Linked DNA regions of Callithrix jacchus. The protein of the gene in region 5 interacts with the protein of the main gene of each other region in a biochemical or structural test. Links are inferred from orthologs where the notes say so. Each region holds a gene or a part of one and is shown on either strand. Other genes may lie near its edges. The genes, in order: USP1, CHAF1A, POLD1, KMT5A, PCNA, RAD18 and POLL.

Region 1 (3,500 bases), on a different chromosome or scaffold from region 5:
GTATTCACTATAGTTATATGATGTACAGGTTACCTAACAGCAATAGGCCATTCAAAGCTTGCCTGCAGCCCATAACAAATTCATAAACTTTCTTAAAACACTATGAGACTTTTTTGTGATTTTTTTTTTTTTTTTGCTCATCAGCTACCATTAGTATATTTTGTGTGTGGCCCAAGACACTTCTTCCTATGTGGCCCAAGGAAGCCAAAAGATTAGACACCCCTGGTCTATACCACATAGGCTAGTTGTGTAGTATGCTCTACCGTCTAGTTGTATAAGTAAACTGTGACATTCGCACAATGAAACAGCACATTTCTCAAGACATATCCCCGTTGTTAAGCAACATGACTGTACTTCGTCTCTACTTTAAATATTTCACTGAATACAATGTCCTTCATGAGTTTACATCAAACACTGCATAAAGGGAAATGTACTTTTAAATGTACGTTAAGATATACTGAACTTCCCTACTTTTTTATTTTGAGACAGAGTCTTGCTCTGTCACCCAGGCTACCGTGCAGTGGCACAATCTTGACTCACTGCAACCTCGGCCTCATTCTCCTGCCTCAGCCTCCTGAGTAGCTGGGACTACAGGCATGCACCATGCCTGGCTAATTTTTGTATTCTTAGTAGAGATGGGGTTTCGCCATGTTGACCAGGCTAGTCTTGAACTCCTGACCTCAGGTGATCCACCTGCCTCAGCCTCCCAAAGTGCTGGGATTACAGGTGTGAGCTACCGTGGCCCAGCTGAACTTCCCTACTTTATAAACTGTAAGTTAAAATTACTTTCATGACATTATATATATATACACACACACACTAATTTAAGCATAGCACTTAGAACACCATAGTTCACATTCAGTGTTAAATTTCCTTCTCTTGAAACAATTTTATGCATAGATTATATTATATATGTATCTAAGAAGAGAAAATTCTAATTCTATAGCTGTTAATGCTCCTACCTATCAAAGTCTAAGAATTATACTAACCTTTGTTTATGGGTTTAACTTCATTAACATTTACAGGTATAACAGTATTTTCTGGAGATTCAAGTCCATTAGCTGTGTTATCACTTTCACACTTCCCCAAGTCCTCTTCAGGATCATATTCATTTTCTTTAGATTGTCCTTTAGCTCCTTGGTTTGTTGTTATTTTTCCCAGACTACAGAATTTAGAAAGAATGCTGGGTTGCTTATTTGCAGACTTTAACCAATTAATTTTAACTCTTGATTTCTTTTGTGAAGCTCTTGCACTCTCATTTTCGGAAATATACTTGGGAATTACTTTAGGAGGAATCTCTAATGTATCACTTGTAGCTTTTCTTTTTGATCTAGTTTGTCTCTGGTTCTCTTCCAATGACTGGTGTTCCTTGGATACTTTAACTTTTTTCTTCATGCTACCAAATTCTGTGTCGCTTTTTCTTTTCCCATTTCCTTTTGGGAGTTTTTCTTTAAAGTCTTCAGAATGCCTCATACTGTCCATCTCCATGCTGTTAATACCACTCATTTCCTCTTTCTGATGAGGTATTTCTTCTACCTTAGTAGATAATTCTGCCACATTTTTTACTTCTTCTTTTTTTAGGAGTTGGCATGTTTCTTGAATGTTTCCCAAAATACACTGTAATACTTCCTGTGCATCATGCTGTAGATATCCTTCATACATAGGGTTGAGTTCCCTATAAATAAAAATTTCCATTTCATCTATTCTAGTTTTAAAGATATAGTACATAAAACTATTTCTACATAGGAATGAATTCATGTAAGGAATATTGTAAATTATTTAATTTTTAAATCTCATTCAGCACTAATTTGAAATTTCTTACCTGAAACTAAAAGAGTAAATTTTATCTGTTTTTCATTATAATACTTTGAACCTCTTCCAAATATATTAATATATTTAATATATTTATATATTTTATAATGTATTTAATATACTTGATCCTCTTCTAAACATATTAATAACTAACAGTGCTTACCATATACAAGGTCTTAGTCAAAATGCTTTATCTCCTACATATACATTATCTTCATAATAGCAATAGTACCCTATAAGGGACTATTACACCACCACTATTGTCAGATAGATATAGCCACTGAGGCACACAGCGGTTAAATAACTTGCCCAAGGTCACAGAACTAGTTAGGATGAAAAGCCAGTAGTCAAACCCCACTCTTGGTTACCATGTTATAATACTTTTTTATTTTGGAGACAGGAGACTTGCTCTGTCTCCCAGGCTGGACTGTAGTGTTGCAATCTGGCTCACCGCAACTTCCACCTCCTGGGTTCAAACAATTCTCCTGCCTCAGCCTCCCAAGAAGCTGGGACTTTAGGTGTGAACCACCATGCCCAGCCAATTTTTCTATTTTTAGTAGAGGTGGGTTTTCACCATGTTGGCCAGACTGGTCTCGAACTCCTGACCTCAAATGACCCACCCACTTCAGCCTCCCAAAGTGCTGGGACAGGTGTGAGCCACTATGCCCAGCCTACAATACCTCTTAACTAAGGTGTAGCAATACACTGCACCTAGTTCTATTTCTAAACTAAATGCTTAAGTGATTGTTTTAAAGACTTGCCCTATTAGTATAACTTTATTTGAATAAGGCTATTTTATATATATAAAGTTTCATTTTTAAGAAAATAACAAAAAGCAATCTAATCCAGTTATCCAATAGTTCTCCTCTAATCACATATTAACAAAAATACATTATTTGGAACTTACGGTTCTTACACATATTTTGAATATAGTTCTATAACTCCTAATCTGAGGACCATGCATTTAGAAATTCAGACATTTTCAGATTCAAAGATAATACGACGTATAAGTAAAATATTTATCACCAACATGATATGGTAGTACTCTATAATTAAACATGATCCTATTTCTATAGAAGGATGTATGAATATTCACATTAGAGATAAATATGAATAATGACTATAAAAAGCCTAATATATTCAGATCTAACGAATTTAGCACCAAATTTATGAAAAAAAATTCCAGTATTCAGAGCCTCTGGGATATAAAGGACTGTGGACCTAGAGTTTCTTACTTTCCTTGCCCTTTATTTCTGTTTGTTCACATATCATTCTCCTCCAAGGATATAAACAAGTAGCTAAATTGAAACCCTAAAATTATATCATAGGCTATACCTGAGTGTGTTAAGCAGTCGCCGTGGCTGAGTGGCAAGTTCATCAGTGTATTTCTCTGGATTTAAGAGGAAACTAGCCTGGAGCTGTTCAACCGAAATGATTAAGGACTGTAAACTGCATATCAATTCATAACTTGCCAAAGAATCTTCTTTGCAATTTCCCTGTCAAGAAAGAAACACACAAACCAATAATTTTATTTGTGAACAAATTAAGTGCCTTCTTCATTTGTCTTTGTCTCACTTTACTAGCTTTTCTAAGTTGCATTATAGCACTAATTTTATGGGATAGACAAATCAACCTTATTTTTTTTTTATTTTGAGACAGAGTCTCTGTTGCCCAGGCTGGAGTGTGCA
Region 2 (3,500 bases), on a different chromosome or scaffold from region 5:
CATCCACTCGACTGTTTTAAGTCATCAAACTCAACACTCACGATGCACACGTCTTGGTGCATGCTGACTGTACGCCCGATAGAGTGGTTTCCAGCCTTCTAACCTACAGGCTACGGCCATGCTCCCTCACCAGTGTCTGCTCACTTGCAATTTCCTCTTATGTTTACCACCCTCCCGAGTGATGCTAAGTTCAGGCCATTCCGACAAGTGAGCTTGCATGCTGGGAACACAGTTCAAATCGCGTATGGCTGGGTGGGGACTCCTGTCACCCTCCCAGGTCACGCCACTGACCACCAGTCTGTGAATGAGCTTTTTCTGAGCCAGTGACCTCCCTTTCACTCCCTCACCTCTGTCACACCTTCATCCTCAGACAGGTACCCATGGGGCACAAAGAAACCATCGTCGTCATCTTCATCCTCTCCCATGTCGTCGTCATCATCCTCAAAAGGAGAACAAATGAGTTCATCAGATGGAAAAGCAGAGTGTGCATCTACGGTGGCTCACGCCTCTAATCTCAGTTCTTTGGAAGGCCAAGGTAGGTGGATCACTTGAGCTCAAGAGTTCAACACCAGCCTGGCTAACATGGTGAAACACCATCTCTACTAAAAATACGAATTTTAGTGAGGCCTACTTTACACAGGAACTGGATGCAAGGTATAAAAAAAAAAAAAGAAAAAATACGAATTTTAGTTGGGCACCTGTAATCCCAGCTCCTAGAGAGGCTGGGGCAGGAGAATCACTTGAACCCAGAAGGCAGAGGTTGCAGTGAACCAAGATGGCGCCACTGCACTCCAGCCCGGGTGATAAAGCAAGACTGTCTTAGACCAAAAAAGGAAAAGCTGTGAACATCTGTCTGGCATGGCCTTCTGACGGACAGTGAGCAATCAGCAGAAAGCCACCAAGTCACAGCAGCTGTGCCATCAGGTGGAAGTGGTGAGTCACAGGCTGGCAGGAGATGAGATGGAGCTGCAGGGCCACGGTGCAGATGCGAACAGGATCCTACCCCAGGCAGCCACACAGGCGAGTGTCGCCAGGGTGAGATTTTTCAAGCGAAGCTGGAAGTGTGGATGTTAAGGGAGATTTGGGTTTTAGACCACACAGCAGGCCAAACAAAAGCTGTCCGTGAGTGAACACAGCTGGGGTATGTCCTTACCCCTTCACTATGGGACAGGGACTCCCCAGGCTCCTCTTCTTCCCACTCCTCATCGCTGTCTACCTCATAGTCGAGGAGCTTCTGAGAAAAGAAACACACGGGACTCACGACTGCCTTCGGGGCTAGAGGGATGGGGCACAGCGAGGAGGTACAGGGACGGAGGCCTGCTCGGGCCCGCTCACCGTGTCCTGGGCCCAGGGGTCTCGGGCACGGATGAGCGCTGTCTTTTTGTTCCAGGTCCCCCAGTAGGCTGGCCGGTGGTTCTCGCAGAACTGCAGGAGCTTCATCCTGCCGAACTTCCTCCTCTCAGGAACACCGTCGCCCTTCCCAGGCTCCACAATCACGACATCACTAAGGAAAACTCTGGGCTCAGGATCGGGCTGCCCTAGACTTGCTCACACACCTCCCAGGGACCTCCCAGTGAAGCTGGCTGACAATTCCAGAAAGTTGGGAGACTGTAAAAACCAGCACTACCTGTCCCCAAAGAAAGGCCAGGAATGTGGACTCAAGGGACAGAGGGAGGAGGGTACAGCCTGCAGGAGGAGAGGGAATAAGGCTGCCCAGGTTCAGCCCAGAGCATTTTTAGCAAGGGGAGTTCAATGGAGCCAGGAAATCTGCAAGAGCAGGGGGTGTCCTTCACTGGAGCCCAGCAGGGAAATAAGATTCCTCCAGGAGGGGCTGGGAAGACAGAAAAAGGAAAACTTCAGGGGCTCACAGCGAGGCCAGGTGGAGGGACTCCTGAGCCAGCAGAAGGCAAGCAGCAGAAGGCCCCAGAGCTCCTGCCTCGGGAACCCAGGGTTCGGGCAGCTGCCCTCCAGCATCACTAGTGGGCAAAGGCCAACCTCCTTGGGCTCTGACCTGTTGAAAATGTCTGCGTTCTGGGTGGAAACCTGAGTGGGTCCGGACCTCAGAGGCTGCCGGCCTTTGAGGTCTTTCAAGAAGGATAATTCTCCGTTCTGCTGCTGAAGGAGCTCGTCTAGCTGACTGCAGAGGTCTGGGTCGAAAACAGTCCGACACTGAGGGGCCAGGACCATGTGCTCTTTAATTTCAAAGGGGGCAAACTTTCCACAGGAGCCGGCAAGGGTCTGAAATAAAGAAGAGACCCAGTGGGGTCTTCAAGCAATGGGAGAAAGAGGCCACCATGGACACACACAGCAGGGTGCTGGTGCGATTCACCAGGCTAAGGGCAAGGCGCAGACTCAAAAGCCCAGGCACTATGTAGATCCACAGAGCCGAGTTTCCAGAGCTATAGGATGGAGGTCAGATTGGGAGTCTCAAGGGACAGGATGTGGGGACAGACAAAAAGGGAGCGTTTTGAGTGATGGAAACAGTGTGTATCTTCATTATGGTTAGCTGGCCCCGTAATCTGTCAATATGAAAGTCCTGAAAAGCATGTGTTTTATTGCATGTAAATTATATCTCAACAAACCTTGCTTAAAAAAAAAAAAAAAAGGGCCAGCACAGTAGCTCAGGACTGTAATCCCAGCACTCTGGGAGGCCAAAGACAGTGGATCACCTAAGGTCAGGAGTTCAAGACCAGCCTGGACAACATGGTGAAATCCTGTCTCTACAAAAAAATAAAAAACTTAGCAAGGGGTGGTGGTGGGCACCTGTAGTCCCACTATTAGGGAGGCTGAGGCAGAAGAATCACTTGAACCCAGGAGGTGGAGGGTGCACTGAGCCAACATGGTGCCACTGCACCCCAGCCTGGGCGAGAGTGAGACTCCGTCTCAAAAGAAAAAAAAATAATTTAGAGACAGGGTCTTACCGTGTCGCCCAGGCTGGTCTCCAACTGCTCTGTTTTTCTGAGATGGAATCTCGCTTTATCATGCAGCCTGGAGTGCACTGGCATGATCTTGGCTCACTGCAACCCGCTCCTCCCGAATTCAAGGGATTCTCCTGCCTCAGTCTCATGAGTAGCTAGGATTATAGGTGCCCACCACCACGCTCAGTTAATTTCTGTATTTTTACTGGAGACAAGATTTCACCATGTTGGCCAGGCTGGTCTCGAACTCCTGACTTCAGGTGATCCACTTGCCTTGGCCTCCCCAAGTGCTGGGATTACAGTCGTGAGCCACTGCACAAGGCCAAAAGGAGAAATTTCTGTATAACAAAAGACTCTGTAAACAAAGACGTAGTAGACTGAGATGAAATATCAGAGGATTAAATACCAGACTGTAAAAAATACTTGTATTACAGATCAGGCCAAAAAAAAGAGTCAGTTCTGTTAAAAAAAAAAAATAGGTAAAAAATAGGAATTGGCAAGTCACAGAAGAACTAAAATGGGAAACCAACACAAAAAAATGCTCCACTGCACCAAGAGTCAAGTAAAAATGGAAAGTAAAAT
Region 3 (3,943 bases), on a different chromosome or scaffold from region 5:
CTGCATTGATTACTTGCATTGTCCAATTACTTGGGAGGCTGAAGTGGAAGGATCATTTGAGCCCGGGAGATGGAAGCTGCAGTGAGCTGTGTTCATGCTGCTGCACTCCAGCCTGCACAACAGAGCAAGACCCTATCTCAAAAAAACATACAGGTCGGGTGCGGTGGCTCATGCCTGTAATCCCAGCACTTTGGGAGGCTGAGGCAGGTGGATCACCTGAGGTCAGGAGTTCAAGACTAGCCTGACCAATATGGAGAAGCCCCGATTTTACTAAAAATACAAAATTAGCCAGGGATGGTGGTGTGCACCTGTAATCCCAGCTACTCTGGAGGCTGAGGCCTGAGAGTTACTTGAACCTGGGAGGTCGAGGTTGCAGTGAGCCAACATCAGGCCATTGCACTCCAGCCTGAGCAACAAGAGGAAAACTCCATCTCAAAAAATATATATATGAATAAAAACAAAGCTGTGAGATTGGGCGAGATTGGAAGAGGTCATCGAGGGAATGAGCGAGTGTCTTGCTCATCAAGAAAACCAGCATCTGGCCTGCAGTGAGCATGTAGTGTCGTTTTATTGCTGACTCTCTGTTAAGTGCTTGCTCGTGAGAGAGGGCAGAGGCCAGTGTTTGCCAAGCTCTCATCCTGTGCCAGGGCACATGAGAGGGGGTACACGGGGGCCTTTCCTTCCTAATACTGCTCTCCTTCCAGTCTGTACCAACAAGAGCCTGGGTTTTGCGCCTGCTGACACCGTCCCTCCTACCACACCCCTGTAGCCACAGCCAACTGACCTCGGGCAGCCAGTCAGCCCCTTCCTTCCTCCGGGTCCGGCAGTGACTCTGGGCTCCCACAAGCCCCTGCACTTCCTCTGTCCCAGCCGGGTCTCTCCCTGCAGGTCATCACTCCCTGTCCGTCTCTGGCTGCTTACACAGCCGGAGCAAGGGCCACTAACTGAGCTTGCTTCTTCCTGTGAGATAAGTCACTCATGTACACAGTTGTCACCCGAAGAACGCAAACGCGGAGTCAGTTCAAGTCTTCCTCATACGAAACCCCCCGCACACATTCACGGGTGCTCCACTCACGAACAGTGGAAACAAGCCACCCTGATGTCCATCTGCCGATGAGCGGATACGTAAAACGTGTTCTGGCCATACGGTGGAAAAGTACTCAGCAAAAAAGGAACGCAGCTCTGCTTCCAGGCCACCACGCGCATGAACGATGAACGCATTCAGAGAAAGCAGCCAGACACCAAAGGCTGCAGATTCCAAGATCCCATTTATAGGAAATGCCCAGAATAGGCCAATCCATGGAGACAGAAAGTAAGATGGGTGGTTGCCAGGGGTGGGGGCAGATGGGCTGAATCGGGGGAGCTAACGGAGGTAGGGTTTTCGGGGTGATGAAAGAGTCCTAAAATTGATTGTGGTGACGACTGCCTAACTGAACATACTAAATACCATTGAACTATATATACTTACTTTAAAGGGGTGAATTGTATAGTATGCGAATCACAGCTCAGAAAAGCAGTTACCAAATGGAGGCTTCTTCCACCCCGTCCCCTGGAAACCAGTTTCTTAGCTCTCCTTGCAGAACAATGCATTCAAAGCAAACTGATTTATACCTAGTCTCTGCGTTAAAAGCAAAATGATTTATACGTACTCTTCTGCCCACCTTGTCAAATTGTTACTATTTCCATTTTATATATTTCCCTCTTAATATTTTGAAAAGTTTGAAACCTGCAGAGAAGGTACAGATTAAGCACAGTGAACAGGCTGTCGGCGCGACACCTCCTTTGCTTTATCCAAGCACACACATAGACTTGTGCTTTTGTCCTTTTTTGAGATGGAGTCTCGCTGTCTCGCCCAGGCTGCAGTGCAGTGGCACAATCTCGGCTCACTGCAACCTCTGCCTCCTGGGTTCAAGCAATTCTCCTGCCTCAGCCTCCCGAGTAGTTGTGATTACAGGTGTGTGCCACCGCACCCGGCTAATCTTTGTGTTTTTAGTAGAGACGGGGTTTCACCATGTTGGCCAGGATGGTCTGGATCTCCTGACCTTGTGATCCACCTGCTTTGACTTCCCAAAGTGCTGGGATTACAGGCGTGAGCCACCGCACCCAGCCCCTTCTGTCCTTTTCTTGGCTGAACTACTGAAAGCTGTGGTCATCGTGATACGTCACCTCTGAAAGATCTAGCAGTTGACACCTTTTTTGGTACAAGAACTCACTCTGTCATGCAGGCTGTAATGCAGTGGTGTGGTCACAGCTCACTGCAGCCTTGACCTCCCCAGGCTCAGCTGATCCTCAGCCTCCCAAGTATCTGGGACTAAAGGTGAATGCCACTGCACCCTGCTAATTTCTGTATTCTTTTATAGAGACAGGGTTTCACCGTGTTGCCTAGGCTAATCTGAAACTCCTGGGCTCGAGCAATCCCCTCCTCGGCCTCCAAATGTCCTGGGATTACAGCCGAGAGCCACCGTGCCTGGCCTCCAGCAGTCAGCTCTTAAGAACAAGATGTCCAACCGCACAACTACAGTGTCGTCATCGTCACGCAGTTTAACGTGACACGGTGACGTCATCCAATAGACAGTCTTTATTTAGATCTGCCCCGTGTTCCTGTAATAGTCTTCAAAGCTATTAATAATTTCTTTTTTTTTGAGACTGTGTCTCACTCTGTTGTCCAGGCCGGAGTGCAGCGGCACGATTTCCGCTTGCTGCAACCTCTGCCTCCCGGGTTCAAGCAATTCTGCCTCAGCCTCCTGAGTAGCTGGGACTATAGGCACACACAACCAAGCCCGGCTACTTTTTTTTTTGTATTTTTAGTAGAGACGGGGTTTCGTGTTGGCCAGGCTAGTCTCGAACTCCTGACCTCAGGTGATCCGCCTGCCTCAGCCTCCCAAAGTGCTGAGATTACAAGCATGAGCCACCGCACCCAGCCCATAATTTCTTTTTTTTTTTTAATCCAAGTTCTAACCTAGGATCACACACATTTAGCTGTCACAGCAACTTTTTCTTTCCTCTTTTTGAGACAGGGTCTTGCTCTATCATTCACCAGTACAGTGGTGCAATCACGGCTCACTGCAGCCTTCACCTCCCAGGCTCAAGTGATCCTCCCACCTCAGCGTCCGAGTAGCTGGAACTATACATATGCACCACCATGCTTAACTAATTTTTAAATTTTTTGTAGAAATTGGGTCTTACCATGTTGCTTGGGCTAGTTTCTAACTCCTGGCCTCGAGTGACCATCCCACCTCAGCCTCCCAAAGTGCTGGGATTACAGATGTGAGCCCCTAGCCCAGGCGACTTTCTTCTTCATGACAGTGACAGTCTTAAAGGTTTCAGCGCAGTATTGTCACCCTGCACTTTGGATTGGTTTGTTTCTTTGTTTTTGTTGCTTGTTTTTTTTTTTTGACTGTTGTTGTTTGGTTTTTTTTTGTGACAGAGTCTTGCTCTGTCACCCAGGCTGGAGTGCAGTAGCATGATCTTGGCTCACTGCAACCTCCACCTCCCAGGTTCAGGCGATTCTCCTGCCTCAGCCTCCCGAGTAGCTGGGCTTACAGCTGCCCACCACCATGCACAGCTAATTTTTGTATTTTACTGGAGACGGGGTTTCACCATGTTGGTCAGGCTGGTCTCAAACTCCAGACCTCAAGTGCTCTGCCTGCCTCAGCCTCCCAAAGTGCTGGGATTACAGGTATGAGCCACTGTGCCCCAGTGATTCGTTTCCTAATGACTAGAATCAGGGTAAACATTTTCTTAGACCTTTTTTTCAACCCAAAAGATAAAACTCTGAGTGCACCTTTGTGCACCTTGCTTTAGCTACTGAACAGTGCCTCTTTGAGAACCTTCCCTATCAGTACACAAGGAGCTTCCTCATTTCTTTACACAGCTGCATAGTATTCCATGGAACGGACTTAACATAACTTATTTAAACAGCCCCCTAGGGAAGGACAGTTAG
Region 4 (3,500 bases), on a different chromosome or scaffold from region 5:
AGGCTGGGCACGGTGGCTCACACCTGTAACCCTAGCACTTTGGGTTGGAAGGCCAAGTGGAAGGCCAAGGTGGTTGGATCATCTGAGATCAGGAGTTCAAGACCAGGCTGGCCAACATGACAAAACCCCATCTCTACTAAGTAAAATACCATACAGAATCAGGAGTTCCTGGCCCTTTGGGCTCTCCTCACTGCCCAGAAGACAGAAAAGCCACTCAAAGCAACAGTAGACTTACCAGTAGGTTTTGCTCAGATACTGAAAATAGTACATGTAGCAGCCCGTGGAAGGGTCCTGTGCGTACAGAGCCTCCCGCTTCTTAGCGTCAGTGATCTCAATGAGGTCCCCGTGGTATTCCACCACAAAGTCACCCCGAGAGAACTGCTTTGTGGCAATCACACCCCTGCCTTTGCCATCGATGAGGTCAATCTGTCAGGAGGTGATAAGAGAGGCTGTTGGCTCATAACAGCAATGGATGCCACCACGCACAGCAGGCCTCTGGAGAGCTGAGGGCTGATACCAGTCTTTCACAGCTGTACTGAGCTGTACCATAAAACTCACTTGCTTTACACGTACAGGTTGATGGGCTGTTTGAGATGGGTACATAGCTGTGCAACTGTCACTACAATCCAGCTCTAGAACATTTCTGTCACCCCACAGACTTGGTTCCTTGGTACTCATCTGCAAAGCACTGTTACATCAGAGCTCATGAGAGATCTGCTGGATGGAGACTGCCTCATTTTGTAGATGAGGAAACTGAGGCTTAGAGGGGCAGAGCCACGTGTCTGAGGCCCCACAGCTAGGCAGTGACATAGCAGGGACTCAAATCCACACTTGGTTTCTCTGCCTAGGGGCTGTGCTCTATGCCTTCCTAGGTGAACAGCAGGCCCAGTGTTCTGGGTCTGTGCCTCGCTCCACGATTTCTCTCCTGTGTCTCCTCATTCTATTCTACATGGAGTCAGAGGGGGTTGCTGGAGGGGTCCAGGACTTAAGCGGGGGTCCCCCTAAGTGGTGGGTGGAAGTGGAAGGTTTCTGAGCCCTAAGCCCTAATCCAGGCCTATCTGAGCCCCACTGTAGAGAGTTCCTTTCCTCTCACCCAAACTGGGTATGCTTGAAATGCAGTAAGAGAAAAGCACATTTCTTGGGCATTGTCATTATCTAGGAAAACAGAGTTTAAAAATTTATTAGTTTCTCCTTTTAAAAGTTTCCCCAGGCTTCAGCTACACATTGTATAGTCCCATTTATATAAAGTGTCCAGAAGAGCAACTCCACAGAGACAGAAAGCAGCTGAGTGGCTGCCAGGGGATGGGCGAGGGAGATTCGGGGATGGTGGGCAGTAATGGGAGGATGAAAAAGTTCTGAAATTTGACAGGGATGGTGGTTGCATTGCATTGTGAATGTACAAAAAGCCACTAAATTGTTTAACCACAATTTCTAAGAAAAGTTTCCCCTAAATAACATTTATATACAAGGCCCATTTATGTTTCCTTCATAAGGTTTTTCCTTAATGAGTTTTAGTGTTTGGCTCTTTCACAACCTAGTAAGAGTCTGACTGGTCCCCATGGCCATTAGAGGGTTAAAGCCACGTGGTGGCCACTCTCAGCCGAGGGACCAGGGAAGGCGAGTCTTCCAGCTTTAGCCATGATGCAGCCAGCACAGCAGCCCCTTACCTTCATTCCTTCTTCCTTCCCACTTTCAATCAATTCATCTATTCTTTTCCTTTCTTCAGACTGGGTAGAGAGAAAGAAAAATAGCATCAGCATCCTCTCCCAAGCCCATCGTGGGTAGCTTGAAGGCCTTGAGCCCTCATTGCCTAGGCCATACCCACCGGGTCACCATCGGCCTCATTTGGCATCATTGTGGATGATGGGTACCCAGTGATGCCAAAGCCCCCAAGTATCCCTTCTTTTCTCATCATCCATCTGTGTGGATGATCTGGGGTTCAACTAGATCAGGAAGGAAACAGTGGGGACCCAAGAACAGAATGGGGCTTGTAGATATGTTCTTTGCCCATGCAGCATGTTGTAAAATGTCCAACTTGCCCAAGTTTGAAAATCAGGTACAGCAGATCAGAGGCTGTGCCCTTTGGATGGGACACAGGCAGTCCACATCCCTCCATTCTGACGGCCCCTACTGCTGTCCATTTAGGATCGCTGAGCTTCACCTGTATAGAAGCTACCACCATGAATAAAAAGAGGACCTCCAATCCAGAGGGTCAATACAGCCCCGAACAGAGAACCAGGAGGAGGAGGCACTCCCAGATTCACCTCTCCTCGAAGGCCAACCCTCCTGTACCTACTTCCATCCCTAACCCTGGGTTCCACTACTCTGCCATCACACAGACACTATGAAACAAAAGGGAACCAAATGAAGACAGACCAGAAGCTCCAAACCAGTGTGGCTCCCCCCAAACCAGCATGTCTCGCTAGCACAGACTGTCACCAAACCAGATGGCACATGTCGAGAGCCCAGCACCAACTGCTGAGCTCAGCCCATTCCCCTACACAGAGGCCCAAACCAGCTTGCAGCAATCTGTGCTGGGAACCATGGTGAATGAGCAACATCAAGGGCAGTCCCAAACCCTGCCATCTCCTCTCCATCTCCATTCTCACTGCTGCCCTGAGCCCAGCCACCGCACCTCTCTAGTCACCGGGCTTCCACTCTGACCTCAGGGAACACTCAGTTCTCCACACAGCAGTCAGTGGCCTCTTTAAATTGTAAATGAGGCCAGGTGTGGTGGCTCTCTCCTGCAATCCCAACACTTTGGGAGGTCCAAGAGGAAGGATGGCTTAAGGACAGGAGTTAGAGACCAGCCTGAGCAACATATCCCGACACTGTCCCTACAAAAAATAAACAAGCTGGGTGTGATGGCACATACCTGTGGTCCCAGCTACTCTAGAAGCTGAGGAAGGAGAATTGCTGGAGCCCAGGAGGTTGAGGCTGCAGTGAGCCATGATTGCACCACTGCACTCCAGCCTGGGCAACAGAGTGAGACCCTGTCTTAAAAAAACAAAAACATGACTAGTCATGGTGGCTCACATCTGTAATCCTAGCACTTTGGGAGCTGAGGTGGGTGGATCACTTGAGGTCAGGAGTTCAAAGACCAGTCTGGCCAACATGGCAAAACCCACCTCTACTAAAAACACAAAAATTAGCTGGGTGGGTGACTGTAATTACAGCTACACGGGAGGCTGAGGCAGGAGAATCACTTAAACGCCGGGGTAGAGGTTGCAGTAGGCCAAGATTGCGCCACTATACCCTGGGAGACAGACTGAGTCTCAAAAAAAAAAAAAACCTTCCCAAAAACTTACTTAATAGTAATATACCTGATAAAACCTCACATATCAATATTAACCTTCAACATAAATGGATTAAATGTTCCACTTAAGAGATATGGAAGGGTCAAGAAGGTTAAAAAAAAAAAGAAAGATACACATATTGGTGGAATGGATTAAAAAAACAAAACTTGGCCGGGCGCGGTGGCTCAAGCCTGTAACCCCAGC
Region 5 (4,191 bases):
AACTCCGTCTCAAAAAAAATAAAATAAAATAAAAAAATAAAGGTCAGCATACTTGGAATATATTCAGACAAGTTAGATGTAGCACTCAGACTAAGTGCTAGAGTGGTGCAAGGTGAGGTTGCATCTGGAGTAAGAGTGGTGCAAGGTGAGGTTTCGGTGAGGTTGCAGAGAGGCTGGGGTGAACTCTTGCAGGACTTTGTAGGCTCTGTAAAAGTGCAAGCGAACGTTGTCAACAGCAGGTCTTTGATATGATCCAATTTACATTTTAAGAGGATACTTTAACATCTAGTAAATGTACTATTGAATCAGTAAAGAATCAATTAAGTAAATTTTGATCAGATATTAAACTATTAGAAAATAATAAAAGCAGCTGGGCACAGTGGCACACACCTGTAATCCCAGCACTTTGGGAGGCCAAGGTGGGCAGATTACTTGAGGTCAGGAGTTCCAGACCAGCCTGATCAACAAAGTGAATCTCTGTCTCTACTGAAAATACAAAAATTAGCTGGGTGTGGTGGCACACACCTGTAATCCCAGCTACTTGGGAGGCTGAGGCACAAATTGCTTGAACCTGGGAGGCAGAGGTTACAGTGAACCAAAATTGCGACACTCCCCTCCAGCCTGGGCAACAGGGCAAGACTATGTTTCAAAAAAAAAAAAAAAATGTTTCTTACAGAATGATGATGATGACTGACAATTTTTTTTTTTTTTTGGAGATGGAGTCTTGCTCTGTCACCAGGCTGGCGTGCAGTGGTGCCATCTCAGATCACTGCAACCTCTGCCTCCCGGGTTCAAGCAATTCTCCTGCCTCAGCCTCTCGAGTAGCTGGAACTACAGGTGTGTGCCACCATGCCTAGCTAATTTTTGAATGTTTTAGTAGAGTCGGGGTTTCACCATGTAGGTCAGGATGGTCTTGATCTTGTGATCTGCCCGCCACAGCCTCCTAAAGTGCTGGGATTACAGGTGTGAGCCACCATGCCCCGCCCGATGATTATTATTTTTGAGAAAGGTTCTCACTTTGTCATCCAGGCTGAGGTACAGTAGCATGAGCTCACCTCACCACAGCTTTGACCTGGGCTCAGGTGATCCTCCCACCTCAGCCTTCCAAGTGGCTGGGACTACAGGTGAACACCACCAAGCCCAGCTAATATTTTGGAGAGATAGGGTTTCACCATATTGCCTAGGCTGGTCTCAAACTCTTGGGCTCAAATGATCCTCCCACCTTTGCCTCCCAAAGTGCTGGGGTTACAGACATGAGCCACCGTGCCTGGCCTCTTACAGAATTATTAATAATTCCCCCAGAAATTGGACATAACCTTAAGGTCTAACAGTGTTTGCATTTGTTAGGTAAATTGTGATAAATCTGTAAGATGGAATATTGTTTAGCCTCTAACGTACGATTTGCAAAGAGCTTAATAAAGAGAAAAATCACGTTATGAAGCAGAATAAACAAAGGTATTCCAATTTTCTCAAATTGTTATATCTGGGTGTATGTGTACAGTAAATGGAATGGAAAAGCAAGAAGATAAATATGAACAGTAATTATCTGGCTGATGGTGCCACAAATAATTTTAAATTTTTCTTGCATTTTCTGTATTTTCTATACTTTTTTCAGTAAAAATGTATTGGTCAGAAAATGAATACTGGGAGAAAATGCTATAAATTATTTTATGTAGTATCTGGCAAATTTCTTCATAAGGTAATATGTATCAGAATTATTCTCAATCCTGGCTGCACTCTAGACTCACCTGGGGAGCTTTAAAAAAGCCTATTCCACTTGGCCCTCCCCCAGAAATTTAGTTACTTTAGGATGGCCCCTCCATCAATAATTTTAGCAGCCGTCAAAGTAAATCATTTTTTGTTTGAGATGGAATGTCACTCTGTCACCTAGGCTGGAGTGCAAGTGGCGTGACCTCCGCACACTGGAACCTCTGCCTCCCAGGTTCAAGCGATTCTCCTGCCTCAGCCATCTGAGTAGCTGAGATTACAGGCTCCCGCCACCATGGCCAGCTAATTTTTGTATTTCTGGTAGCGATGGGGTTTCACTATGTTGGCCAGCCTGGCTCAAAATTATTGAGCCTTTCCATAGTCCAGAAGACAAATTTTAGAAAGTGAGGAAGGGCTCGGTGCAGTGGCTCACGCCTGTAATCCCAACACTTTGGGAGGCCAAGATGGGCGGATCATCTGAAGTCAGCAGTTCAAGACCAGCCTGATATGGTGAAACCCTGTCTCTACTAAAAATACAAAAATTGGCCGGGCGTGGTGGCGAGCGCCTGTAGTCCCGGCTCCTCGGAAGGCTGAGACAGAATTGCTTGAACCCGGGAGGAGGAGGCTGCAGTGAGCTGAGATAGTGGGCGACAGAGCGAGACTCTGTCTCAATAATAAATAAATAAATAAACTGAGGAAGATCTCAACTGCAAAATGCAAATCATACTCACTTCCAAGCCATGTGTGGATTAAATGAGATAAGCCAACTAAAGCGATTACCCAGCTCAGTGCCTAGTATACAGTTAGCGCTCAACAAGTACTAGAGACCGCTTGGCAAAGCAAGGCAGATTGAAGTGTGGGTTCCACTTCTCATCATGTGATAAGCGATAATGCTTTTAATCAGGTCGGCTCACCTGGCCTCTCCATTCGGCCTAAATAACGTCTACTTACTTGCGTGAAGAAAGAGCCCTTGCTGCTGCGGGCTCAGAGCCCAGGTCAGCAAGTATTTGTCAGGCTAGAGCCTCCGGGTGGCGCCTCTCGCCGTCGGTAATCCGTTACCTCCAGAACCAGGGCGCCAGCTTCAGCCATCTGCATTGAAGCAGGAGCTCCCATTGGCTAATCGGACTCTGAAACGCACGCCTATTCCCGCCCCTGACGCTGCCGTCCAATGCGAGCCTCTCAACTCTGCTCCGCCCCGCCCCCGTCTCCCTGTCCCTGGCGTATTTGCGCCGTTGGTCGATCTTTCGGGTCGTGATGGCGGCGCTGCGCGTGCGCACTCGCTCCGAGCCCGCCTCCGGGGAGGAGGAGCTCGCGGGCCGGGGCCAGGGAAGGCAGACCCTGCTCCGCCCGGGTGAAAGGGCCGTGACGGCGCTGGGCGGGGCCGAGCTCCAGGGCTGGCTGCTGGGCTGCTAAGGGAACTGTGAGCTGTTCGGAGCCGCGCGACTCCCGGGCGGGGCGGGGCCGGCCGAGGGAGTCCGCGCGTGCCCGCGCTGAGCTGCCTTTCCTGGCTGCTGCGCTGCTCGCCCGCGGCGACGTCGGGCAGGTTTTTCCAGGATGACCGAGCTGAGGCAGAGGGTGGCCCACGAGCCGGATGCGCCGCCCGAGGACAAGGTAGCGGCAGCCTCGGGGTGGGCGCGGCCGGGACAGCGGCGCATCCAGGAGGCCCGGTGGGGACGCGCGCAGGGGGGTCCTCTAGTCCTCTGATCCCTTGTCGTGGCGGACGGCGGCCCCGGGCAGCGCGATGGGTCCTCGGGTGCCTAGCCTTTGCTGCGCGCATGTCAAGGGTTGGCGGGTCGGAGTCCCGGCTCAGGGTCTGGCTGGAGTGGCTCCCCTGGGGCGCAGGAAGGAGCTCGCCTGGAGTGGCGCACGGCCTCCTGCCTCGCTGGGCTGACTGCGGGACCCCCCTCTCCCCCTACCTCCCTGAGGCCTTCCTGGAGGTGAAGATGTGCAGAGCTTTCTCAGATAGGCGGCTCCTCTGACCGCGACTTAGGCTCTCCGTTCCCTTTTGCAATGTTATTATTTTGGGGGGTGTCGGAATCGGGACAAGGCCATAGCATTTGCCTCCTGGCATATGTAAATCCCTTCTTGGACAGGAAATCATCGGCTTTGAGCAGAGAGGTGTGTTACGCAGTGAGCCACCCCGTCATCAGCAGGTGTTGGAGGGAGTCCTCCCAGTTGATGGGTTGTTTCCTGTGCCGTATGGGTTCTGGTGAGTAGGGGAGGAGAGTAGGAAGGAGGCCATCTTGGCGGGGACAGCGGCTGGGGGGTGACGGGTGTGGGAGTAGATTCCTTTGGGTGAAGTGAAAGGTCTGTGTAGGGGAGTTGAGGAAGGTAGGGAGTAGTTGTATTACTGTGGACATTGAATGGCAGCATAGGACTTTGTAGTTGTAGTTGTGCTTTCCGAGATAGCAGTGGTCAGGAGTCCTGTATTTGGAAAACTGATCTGGCAGTGATGTGTAGAATGGATTGAGGGAGCTTGGACTA
Region 6 (4,210 bases), on a different chromosome or scaffold from region 5:
TATAAAGTCCACAGCATCAGTACCCCAATTTTAAAAACAAAGCCTTCAGAGTTCCTAGGTTGGCTGAATCAAACCCAAGAAGTTGACTCCACAATGATCCCAAATTTTAAATGCGTAAAAACTGAAGGAAAATAAGGTAAAATGTTAAACACTGGTTCTCTGGGTGGTAGGATTACAGATGATTTTCTTTTTCACCTTTATCTTACTCTGAATTTTAATTTTTTTCTACTGTGTACACCTATTACATTTACAATATGCCAAAAAGAGTCCAATTTTGCTAAAATAAAACCAGGGAAATAATAAAATGCCAAAATCTTCCATTATTGTGGATGGTAAGCTGTCACAGACACAAAAATCTAGAGGGTTAATGTTAAAGATCAATTAAGATCAGAGGCAGGCCCAGAAGCCGGAACCAGTCTGTCATACCACTCTTTCTTATCTATGCCATTCTCTTCGGTGGAGTAATGATTCAGAAAGATCTGCAGAGCACAATTTGTGGAAGTTGACACTCCATAAGATGAGCTATTTCGGGTTCAAATTTCTGGTCATGTCTCTCCAAGACTGTAATATGCGTATCACATGTGCCTCAACCAACCAAACAAAAAACGATGCCTGAATAGAGAGTGGTCAGCAGACACCCCAAAATGTCTTTAGTTTAGAGAGAGAGAAAGTGAAAGGGAGTAGAAAATGGGTAGAAAAACATAATACTTACAAAAATACCCAAGTTTTTGGGGTTACAGATCCCTTTGAAAATTAGATGAAAACTATGGACTCTATTCTCAGAAAAACATATATACGAAAATTCTACAAATAACTTGAGACTCCGAAGTCTTTCTACGGATCCTAAGTCAGGAACCATGCATTCTGAGTCAGACTTCTATTAGAAGTAACTTTAGTCAGATCCACTTCTGGGATCTGATAGTTCTTTGTCCCTGGAAGAGTTCAAGCAAAAATTAGGTGAGAAATTGGCAGATATGTTATAAAAGAGTTTAAAATAATGAAGGAGGCTGGTTTCCAAACCTTAAGATTCTATGATTCTAATGTGAGCAAAAAATATGGGCTCAATCAACTCTCTGGTTGAACAATCACTGAACACTCTGTGGTATCAAACTCTATATTCAGTGCCGTGGTGAGATACCAAAGTCAGAGAAGACATGGAACCTGCCTCTAAAGAACACTGAAATTGTGGGAATATGTAAAATATGCTTAAATCTACAAAGCAGGAGCTTTACAGGTTACAGAGTTCTTTTACTTTCCTTATCCAAATCAAGCTTCATGACAACAAATTAAAAGGGGAGAGAAGCACTTAGCACAGTGCTAATAATAGTAATAAAATATATTCATTGAATGCTTACTACATTCCAGATACTTTCAATCAAGCAGCAAATAATACTTGAGCACTCACTTTCTGTCAGGCACCGCATCAAGCACAATGAATAAGCCTGCAGAATCTGCACCCACACACATGAACTCATTTATTTAATCAACCCTATGAACTGTTTATTTTTGTCTCTAATTTATAGTTGAAGAAATTCAGGCTCAGAGAGGTTATGTTACTAACTGAAGGTCACACAGCTAAGAGGCAGAGATCAGATTTCACCCAGGACCACTAGAATTCAAATCTGTGCTCTTTTCCACGGCATCTTGGTGCCAAGCCCATCACAACTTCGAAACCACCGCTTTCCTGGATCCTTTCACAATGTCAGCTTCTCGTCATGCAGATATCTCAAGTCCCCAAGACCTCTAAATATCACGGATGACAGCAGGAAGAACAAGGCCTTATACTTATTTTAGCCTTCACTTAATTCTAAAGTCAACTTTATGAGCCAGTGGGACAGATACTATAATCCCCAAGACTACAAAACTGAGGAAGAGAAAAAGGCTATCTTAGCCACTGTCAGAAACAAAAATAATCACAGAGCAAAAAGAAACACCAAACAACTGACTTTTAGCCAGCACGGGAATGTGCATCTGCTCTTGAGCAAATCCAGGGACCACCACTACGTAAATGGAAACTGTTGCCTTGCCAAAACAGAAAGTGGCTACAAAAATAAGTGTTATTTAACTGAAATAATTCGATGCAATGAAAGATGACTGCTGAATCTTGATCTTTGTTTAAAAGACAGAGAGATGAGCAATTGTTACAGAAGAGATAGGACGTGTGAGGGAGGAGCTGGGGCAGTATGTCGGTACAAACCAGCAGTAGGTTTATTGAGAATAATCAGAAGAGCCTGTAAAGGAGACTACCTGCTTGGCTACGTGATTACATACATGTTACTTGATAAAGTGTCCACCCAAAATCATGTCCGGTGTCACTGTTTAGTGCTTGACACAAAGTAAGCTTTCAGTGAAGGTTAGCTGACAATGTCATTGTTTAGAACAGCTGTTTTTCTCCATGTTACTGTTCGGATTGGATCGCAGAATATCTGGTTCCATTAGACTGTCAACCTCAGCTCACCAAGCTTGTCCTTGTCACTTATCAAAGGAGTAAACTGAGACCCAGAGCCACGCGGTCGGCTAGTGACAGAGCAGAGCCGGGTACTATGGCCCAGTGCGACTCTCGCGCCTCATTTTTTCTCCTCAAGGCGAGGACATCCTCCTCAAAGGGAGGGACCGCCCCCCGCAGGCACCCGGGAGCCCCCAACCTCCCCGAAGCACTCACCTTCATAACTGCCAGGCCCGGCGGCCACCGAGGCTCGGTTAGGGAGTCCATGGTCGCTCCTGAAGATGCTGGGGTCTACCACTCAACTAGCCTCCGGCGCTCCAATACCACTCGAAATTCCCCGCGCTATCGCATTACGTCACAACCCGCGACGCGCCAGAGGCGGGCGCGGAGCCTGCCGGAAATTGTAGTAGGATGTGGGCGGGGCGCTGCTGATGGTGCTTGTACTGCGCCTGCGCTAGGCTATGTCCGCTACTGTGTAATATCTCTCCCATATTACAACACTGGGAGGTAGGTGTTATCATTGTCAGTTTACACAAGCGGAAACTACTCCGGAAAAGCTGAATAGAGTTTCGAGTCAGATTCGAAACAGGACCTCTGGAGTTTAAATAGGAGCTCTTCCTTTTAATCATATTAAAATTTTAATGTACAGTTTTTCTTCAGAGAGAAGCACTATTAACTTCGGCATATAGCCTTCCAGATATTTCCTATGCAAATTGGCAAAGATTCTTGGCTTGACCAAACTTTAGTCAGGCTCCTGAACCTTCTCCTAGGCCAATCTGTGTACTTCGTGATAAAATCCAGTTTTAGCAAAGAACTCTGCTAAATCAAGTTAGCAATATCCCCACCCTTGAATCCTTGCCCTTGATATTCCCACCAAGTTAGCAAGAATCTGGGAAGGGACATTTCGGAATCCATATAGGCTCATGGCAAAATCCGAATATCCCACAATAAAAACTAGAAACCAGCTATCTGAAAATGCCTTGCAATGTGTGGATTCTCACACAGTTGAAACCTCTGTTTTGATTCAGTAGGTTGGAAACACTCTTTTTGTAGAATCTAGGAAGGGACATTTTGGAGCCCATTGAGGCTTAAGATGAAGAACACGCCCCACGTGGTCCATGCACTGATTCATTTCACAAATATTTTCTGAATGCTTACAACGGGCCAGGCACTTGAGCTTTCTTGGGAAGCAGGCAGAGATTAGACTGTTATGGCCATCTTACAAATGAGGACACTGAGGCTCAGAAAGCTTAAGACTTCACTCCTCTGAGTTCTCTTCATAAGAACCCTCTAGTCTCTTAGCCAAAGCTGTATTCAATTGATTTTTCCCAGCTTGCACCCAAATACTTACTGGGCAGTAATATTAATACTAATAGCATTTAGAGAAAGGACTTTAGACTTTGGAGGCTGAGGCGGGTGGATCACAAGGTCAAGAGATCAAGACCATCCTGGTCAACATGGTGAAACCCCGTCTCTACTAAAAATACAAAAAATCAGCTGGGCATGGTGGCGCGTGCCTGTAATCCCAGCTACTCAGGAGGCTGAGGCAGGAGAATTGCCTGAACCCAGGAGGCGGAGGCTGCAGTGAGCCAAGATCGCGCCATTGCACTCCAGCCTGGGTAAGAAGAGCGAAACTCCGTCTCAAAAAAAAGAGAAAGGACTTTAGTATCCATTACAGTAGTAGCTGGCATTTATTAGGCACGTGTATGCAAAACACCATTCTAAGTTTTTTACACATATGCACTTATTTGACTTATTCACAAG
Region 7 (4,210 bases), on a different chromosome or scaffold from region 5:
ATGCCTGGCTAATTTTTTAATTAATGGTAGTTATTTTTAACAATTTAAGAAGAGAGCTCAAGATGCTACTAGAAACATTTGAAAAAAAGACTGGGATCAGCCCACCTACTAGGGATGAAGATGCTGAATCCAGCTACATCCACCAGCCTCCTCTCCTGAAGGCACAAGCTCAGCCAGGCTGACTTCACCAGTTGAGCACCCTGGGGCAGCTGGGGTAATCTAAGAAGGCGGAGGGCCCGCTCATAGTCCATGCCATCATCCACCACAATGTGAGTGACACCTGGGGCCTGGGCAGGGCATAGCTGGCCACCATGCTGGACAATCTGCTTCTCAAAGAGTTCTGCCCGTGCTCGTCCAATGCCAGTGCGTACAACATGGGCCCGAAGGGAGCTCAGCCACTCTGTGGAAGGAATATCCAGATGACTACTGTCGTAACATTTTTATTTTTATCTGCCACCCCCTGGCTACAACATAACATCTAACATGATCTGAATGAAGTGTTTACAGTCTCCTACCCTGAAAATAAGCATTTCCCTTCCATCCAGTTTCCCTTCTACATATAGCAAATTTTCTCACAGGCCAGCACTTGAATGTAAGAGACAAAAAAAAAAATTTTTTTTTTTTGAGATGGAGTCTCACTCTGTTGCCCAGCCTGGAATGCAATGGTGTGATCTCAGCTCAGTGCAACCTCCGCCTCCTGGGTTCAAGTGATTCTCCTGCCTCAGCCTCCCGAGTAGCTGGGATTACAGGCATGCACCACCATGCCTAGCTAATTTTTGTATTTTTAGTAGAGACGGGGTTTCACCATGTTGGCCAGGGTGGTCTCGATCTCTTGACCTCATGATCTGCCCACCTTGATCTTCCAAAGTATTGGGATTACAGGCATGAGCCACCTCGCCCACCCGGGACAAGGATACATCCTGTTTCCTGGTGCAACCTAGAAGTGTCTGGCACATTGTAAGTAACCTGCAAATATCTGTTGAATTAATGCCTCCTCCCGTCTTACTTTGTTTGTTTTTGTTTTTTTTGAGATAGGCTCACTCTGTCGCCCAGGCAGGAGTGCATGCAGTAGCATGATCTCAGCTCACTGCAACCTCCATCTTCCAGGTTCAAGCAATTCTCGTGCCTTGGCCTCCCAAGTAGCTGGGATTACAGGTGTGTGCCACCATACCTGGCTAATTTTTTGTATTTTTAGCAGAGACGGGATTTTGCCATGTTGCCCAGGCTGGTCTCACACTCCTGAGCTCGGGTGATCTGCCTGCCTCAGCCTCCCAAAGTGCTGGGATTACATGCATGAGCCGCCACACTCCGCTTCCCTCCTTACTTTGAATCCCTTACCATTTATTCTTTCAACAAAGCACATATTTCTTGCCATTACATGTTTCTTGCCCTTACAGTCTGCCAGACCTGACAATCCTGTCCCCAAAGCCTCTGCCATTTATTTGTCAATTTGCCTGCAAAACAACTAACATCAAACCTGGGTAATGGAGGGGATTTCTGCTTGTCCCCCAAGGCAAAAATTCTACTGGTCATTCCCTGAGAGTCCAGGGAGTCCTTTCTGATTTATAGAGGTCTTTGGGTAGAAAAGAAGATAACACAGCAAATGGCCTGTCCAAGACCCAGGACCAAGCTTAGTACAAAGCAGGTACAAACAGACCTGCAAGCCCTGGACAGGCAAAGTCAGCTCCAATATCTGATTCTGGACATGAACAACGTAGGGCTGAAGCACATGAAGGCTGAGGGTTCAAGGGAATGAGGGTTCTGAGGGTCGGTTAACTCACCTTCTGCTTCTTCTCCCTCTTCCCTCCTGGGAATCTTTGCAAGTACTTTTGATGATGCATCGGCATGAATTTTCTTCCGCTTGGGAAATGCCTTCAAGATACCCCTGGGATCCATTGAAGTACGGCTAGATCTCGGTCTGTCAGAGGGTTGACCAGGGCAGCTGTCATGTGGAAATTCAAAATTCATGCTCTCCAACCTATTTGCCTGTGGAGGTAGGGTGTTCCCTGACTAGGCCTTAGGGATAGCAGCCCAGTTCGGGGAGACAGTGCTGGGGGGGGGTCTCCTCAAACCCCATTAAACTTCACTGGTGTAGCCTAGCTTCCCACTCCCCAGCCTTTCAAAGTATTAGTCTTTCGGAGTATTAGGGGGAAATGAGAAGACTGGGACCATTGGGGGTACTTTTGAGGAGCAGGAAACAACACCATTCCTCACTGGGGTTGCTCTAAAGATTCAGCACAGCCCTACTGCTGCAGCCCCCTTCTGAAGGGCTTTACCAAAATGGGATACTGGGCTAGGGAGTGGAGCGGAGACTGGGGAGAACCTGCACCATAAACCCCACATAATCTTTCTCTACCTTCAACACAGTTGCAGAGGAAAACCTAAGGAGGGGGACTTTCGGGGGTGAGTGGGAACGCCCTGCACCTGCCCTGGTCTCAGCCTCTCGGCACGGGGGTGCTCAGCCCCACAGCTGCGGGGAGATAGGGCACGGCCGCAGCAGGTGTGAGGCACCCTCCGGATTGGAGGAGTCTCAGTCTCGCAGCTGGGGATGGAGAAGACCCGGGCAGGTGTGCTGTACCCGACGCGTACGCAGCTGGCGCAGGCCGGGGAATCCCAGCTCCGGGCTAGAGGAAAGCTGCAGCGCCCGACCCAGGCTCCAAGAGTCCCTCTCCAACCCCCGAAGTCGGTCCCCGGGTGGGTTAGACAACTGGCCAAGCTGATCATTCGCAGGTGGGCAGGAATAAATCACTTACCAGGAGAGCCAATGAGAGCGGACGAAGGGGGAAAAGCGAGCAAATGCCCAGAATAGCTTCCGAGTCAGCCGGAAGTGACCCTCAGTGGAACGGTTGCCATGGCAGCGGCCGGGCGCGCTGCTTGGCAGAGGAAAGATGGCGGTGACGGGATGGTTGGAGAGTCTGCGGACGGCCGAGAAGACTGCGCTGCTGCAGGATGGTAACTCGAGAGCCCTCGCGAGCTCCCTCGTTTTTTCCCCCCAGGGTCCACCCCACAGGAAAGGCCTCAGGGTCTGCAGAGCTGAAAGGGTCTCGGCAGTCAGCTGGGCCAGGTCCCTGCATTTGTAGATGAGGAGACTGAGGCTCAGAGATGACGTGACTGGAACACAGGTCTCCGGACACCGATTAGATTCCTCTACACCAACTCGCTCTGCTTTGAGTTTGTTGCTAATATAATAATTTCTTTCACATTCATTATCTCATTTGCTCCTCACCACTGTCCTGAGAGGTTAATTTTTCACCCCGTTTTACAGAAGAGGAAACTGAACTCCAAGAATGCTTCAGACTTTAGAGAGGAAAGAGGCCTGGGCTGTAGTTCCGACTCTGCCATTAATTCACCACGGGCTCTTCAGCCCTTTAATTTGTTTGGACCTCACTTTCATCGTCTGTAAAATGAAGTGGATGGGCTACCACTGAGGCCCTTTCCAGCTGTAATATTTTTGTAAAGTGAACGTCTTTTTTTTTTTTTAAAGACGGGGTTTCACCATGTTGGTCAGTCTGGTATTGAACTCCCGACCTCAGGTGATCCGCCCGTCTTGGCCTCCAAAGTGCTTGGATTACAGGCGTGAGCCACTACTCCCGGCCTAAAGTGAACCTCTTAATGTTTTCTGTGTCTTTAGGAGAGCTAGAGCAAGGACCAAGGGCTGTGCCTGGAAGAGGTGGGCACAGGGGCATGGATACCTAACTTTTTGCCACCCTAGGATTGGCCGATGTCGCCCCTCTGTGCACTTGGGTCCTTTCTGGACCCACTGGGGAGCCAGGTTGAATTGGGTCTGAAGTTCCTGAGGTTTCGAAGATAACAGCAGGTGATTCACATTCACAGGTAGAGGCCAGTCAAGGCAGCCTAAAGTTGGTGGAAATTAAAATCATTTGCCCTTTAGTGCAACATTTAGGGAGGCTTTTACTATGTGCCAAGCTCTAAACTTGAACTGAAAGAAAAAGATATGTTGTCCCAGGACTTACAGTGGTTGGGAAAAACATGTATGCAAATAATAAGATGTGCTAAATAGAGGTGTAATCTTGTATAAAATGGTAGGAAATAATGAAAGTGTATATGATACCTCTTTGGGGAAAGACCCAAGAGAAGTGATGATGTTTCTGGGTCCTAAATAATTAATAAGGGCAGGCACAGTGGCTCATGCCCATAATTCCAACACTCTGGGAGGCCAAGGCAGGCGGATCATTTGAGCTCAGGAGTT

Evidence for each region.
Region 1: of the proteins of PCNA (region 5) and USP1, one has a biochemical effect on the other in vitro, tested with the Homo sapiens proteins (6 studies listed by BioGRID, with this or other methods). The link is inferred for Callithrix jacchus from reciprocal best matches to the Homo sapiens genes PCNA and USP1.
Region 2: the proteins of PCNA (region 5) and CHAF1A form a complex in vitro, tested with the Homo sapiens proteins (4 studies listed by BioGRID and IntAct). The link is inferred for Callithrix jacchus from reciprocal best matches to the Homo sapiens genes PCNA and CHAF1A.
Region 3: the proteins of PCNA (region 5) and POLD1 form a complex in vitro, tested with the Homo sapiens proteins (4 studies listed by BioGRID, with this or other methods). The link is inferred for Callithrix jacchus from reciprocal best matches to the Homo sapiens genes PCNA and POLD1.
Region 4: the proteins of PCNA (region 5) and KMT5A form a complex in vitro, tested with the Homo sapiens proteins (4 studies listed by BioGRID, with this or other methods). The link is inferred for Callithrix jacchus from reciprocal best matches to the Homo sapiens genes PCNA and KMT5A.
Region 6: of the proteins of PCNA (region 5) and RAD18, one has a biochemical effect on the other in vitro, tested with the Homo sapiens proteins (21 studies listed by BioGRID, with this or other methods). The link is inferred for Callithrix jacchus from reciprocal best matches to the Homo sapiens genes PCNA and RAD18.
Region 7: the proteins of PCNA (region 5) and POLL form a complex in vitro, tested with the Homo sapiens proteins (3 studies listed by BioGRID). The link is inferred for Callithrix jacchus from reciprocal best matches to the Homo sapiens genes PCNA and POLL.

The regions. Positions count from the first base shown.
Region 1 is NC_133508.1:99,537,403-99,540,902, reverse strand, and holds part of USP1 (ubiquitin carboxyl-terminal hydrolase 1), read right to left. Parts: intron 3,309-3,500; coding exon 3,148-3,308; intron 1,676-3,147; coding exon 990-1,675; intron 1-989. UniProt on the Homo sapiens protein: Negative regulator of DNA damage repair which specifically deubiquitinates monoubiquitinated FANCD2. Also involved in PCNA-mediated translesion synthesis (TLS) by deubiquitinating monoubiquitinated PCNA.
Region 2 is NC_133523.1:4,178,129-4,181,628, reverse strand, and holds part of CHAF1A (chromatin assembly factor 1 subunit A), read right to left. Parts: intron 2,239-3,500; coding exon 2,012-2,238; intron 1,505-2,011; coding exon 1,336-1,504; intron 1,235-1,335; coding exon 1,154-1,234; intron 441-1,153; coding exon 348-440; intron 1-347. UniProt on the Homo sapiens protein: Acts as a component of the histone chaperone complex chromatin assembly factor 1 (CAF-1), which assembles histone octamers onto DNA during replication and repair.
Region 3 is NC_133523.1:44,036,275-44,040,217, forward strand, and holds the start of POLD1 (DNA polymerase delta catalytic subunit), read left to right. Parts: upstream 1-1,143; 5' UTR 1,144-1,211; coding exon 1,212-1,312; intron 1,313-3,943. UniProt on the Homo sapiens protein: As the catalytic component of the trimeric (Pol-delta3 complex) and tetrameric DNA polymerase delta complexes (Pol-delta4 complex), plays a crucial role in high fidelity genome replication, including in lagging strand synthesis, and repair.
Region 4 is NC_133510.1:126,589,766-126,593,265, reverse strand, and holds part of KMT5A (N-lysine methyltransferase KMT5A), read right to left. Parts: intron 1,728-3,500; coding exon 1,668-1,727; intron 427-1,667; coding exon 236-426; intron 1-235. UniProt on the Homo sapiens protein: Protein-lysine N-methyltransferase that monomethylates both histones and non-histone proteins. Specifically monomethylates 'Lys-20' of histone H4 (H4K20me1).
Region 5 is NC_133506.1:12,558,577-12,562,767, forward strand, and holds the start of PCNA (proliferating cell nuclear antigen), read right to left. Parts: upstream 2,801-4,191; 5' UTR 2,659-2,800; intron 206-2,658; exon of another isoform or gene 53-205; intron 1-52. UniProt on the Homo sapiens protein: Auxiliary protein of DNA polymerase delta and epsilon, is involved in the control of eukaryotic DNA replication by increasing the polymerase's processibility during elongation of the leading strand.
Region 6 is NC_133516.1:66,167,892-66,172,101, forward strand, and holds the start of RAD18 (E3 ubiquitin-protein ligase RAD18), read right to left. Parts: upstream 2,801-4,210; 5' UTR 2,714-2,800; coding exon 2,663-2,713; intron 1-2,662. UniProt on the Homo sapiens protein: E3 ubiquitin-protein ligase involved in postreplication repair of UV-damaged DNA. Postreplication repair functions in gap-filling of a daughter strand on replication of damaged DNA.
Region 7 is NC_133513.1:94,542,999-94,547,208, forward strand, and holds the start of POLL (DNA polymerase lambda), read right to left. Parts: upstream 2,801-4,210; 5' UTR 2,725-2,800; coding exon 2,579-2,724; exon of another isoform or gene 2,357-2,578; intron 1,987-2,356; exon of another isoform or gene 1,969-1,986; coding exon of another isoform or gene 1,943-1,968; coding exon 1,782-1,942; intron 401-1,781; coding exon 106-400; intron 1-105. Other genes in the region: protein DPCD, read left to right, coding at 2,889-2,952.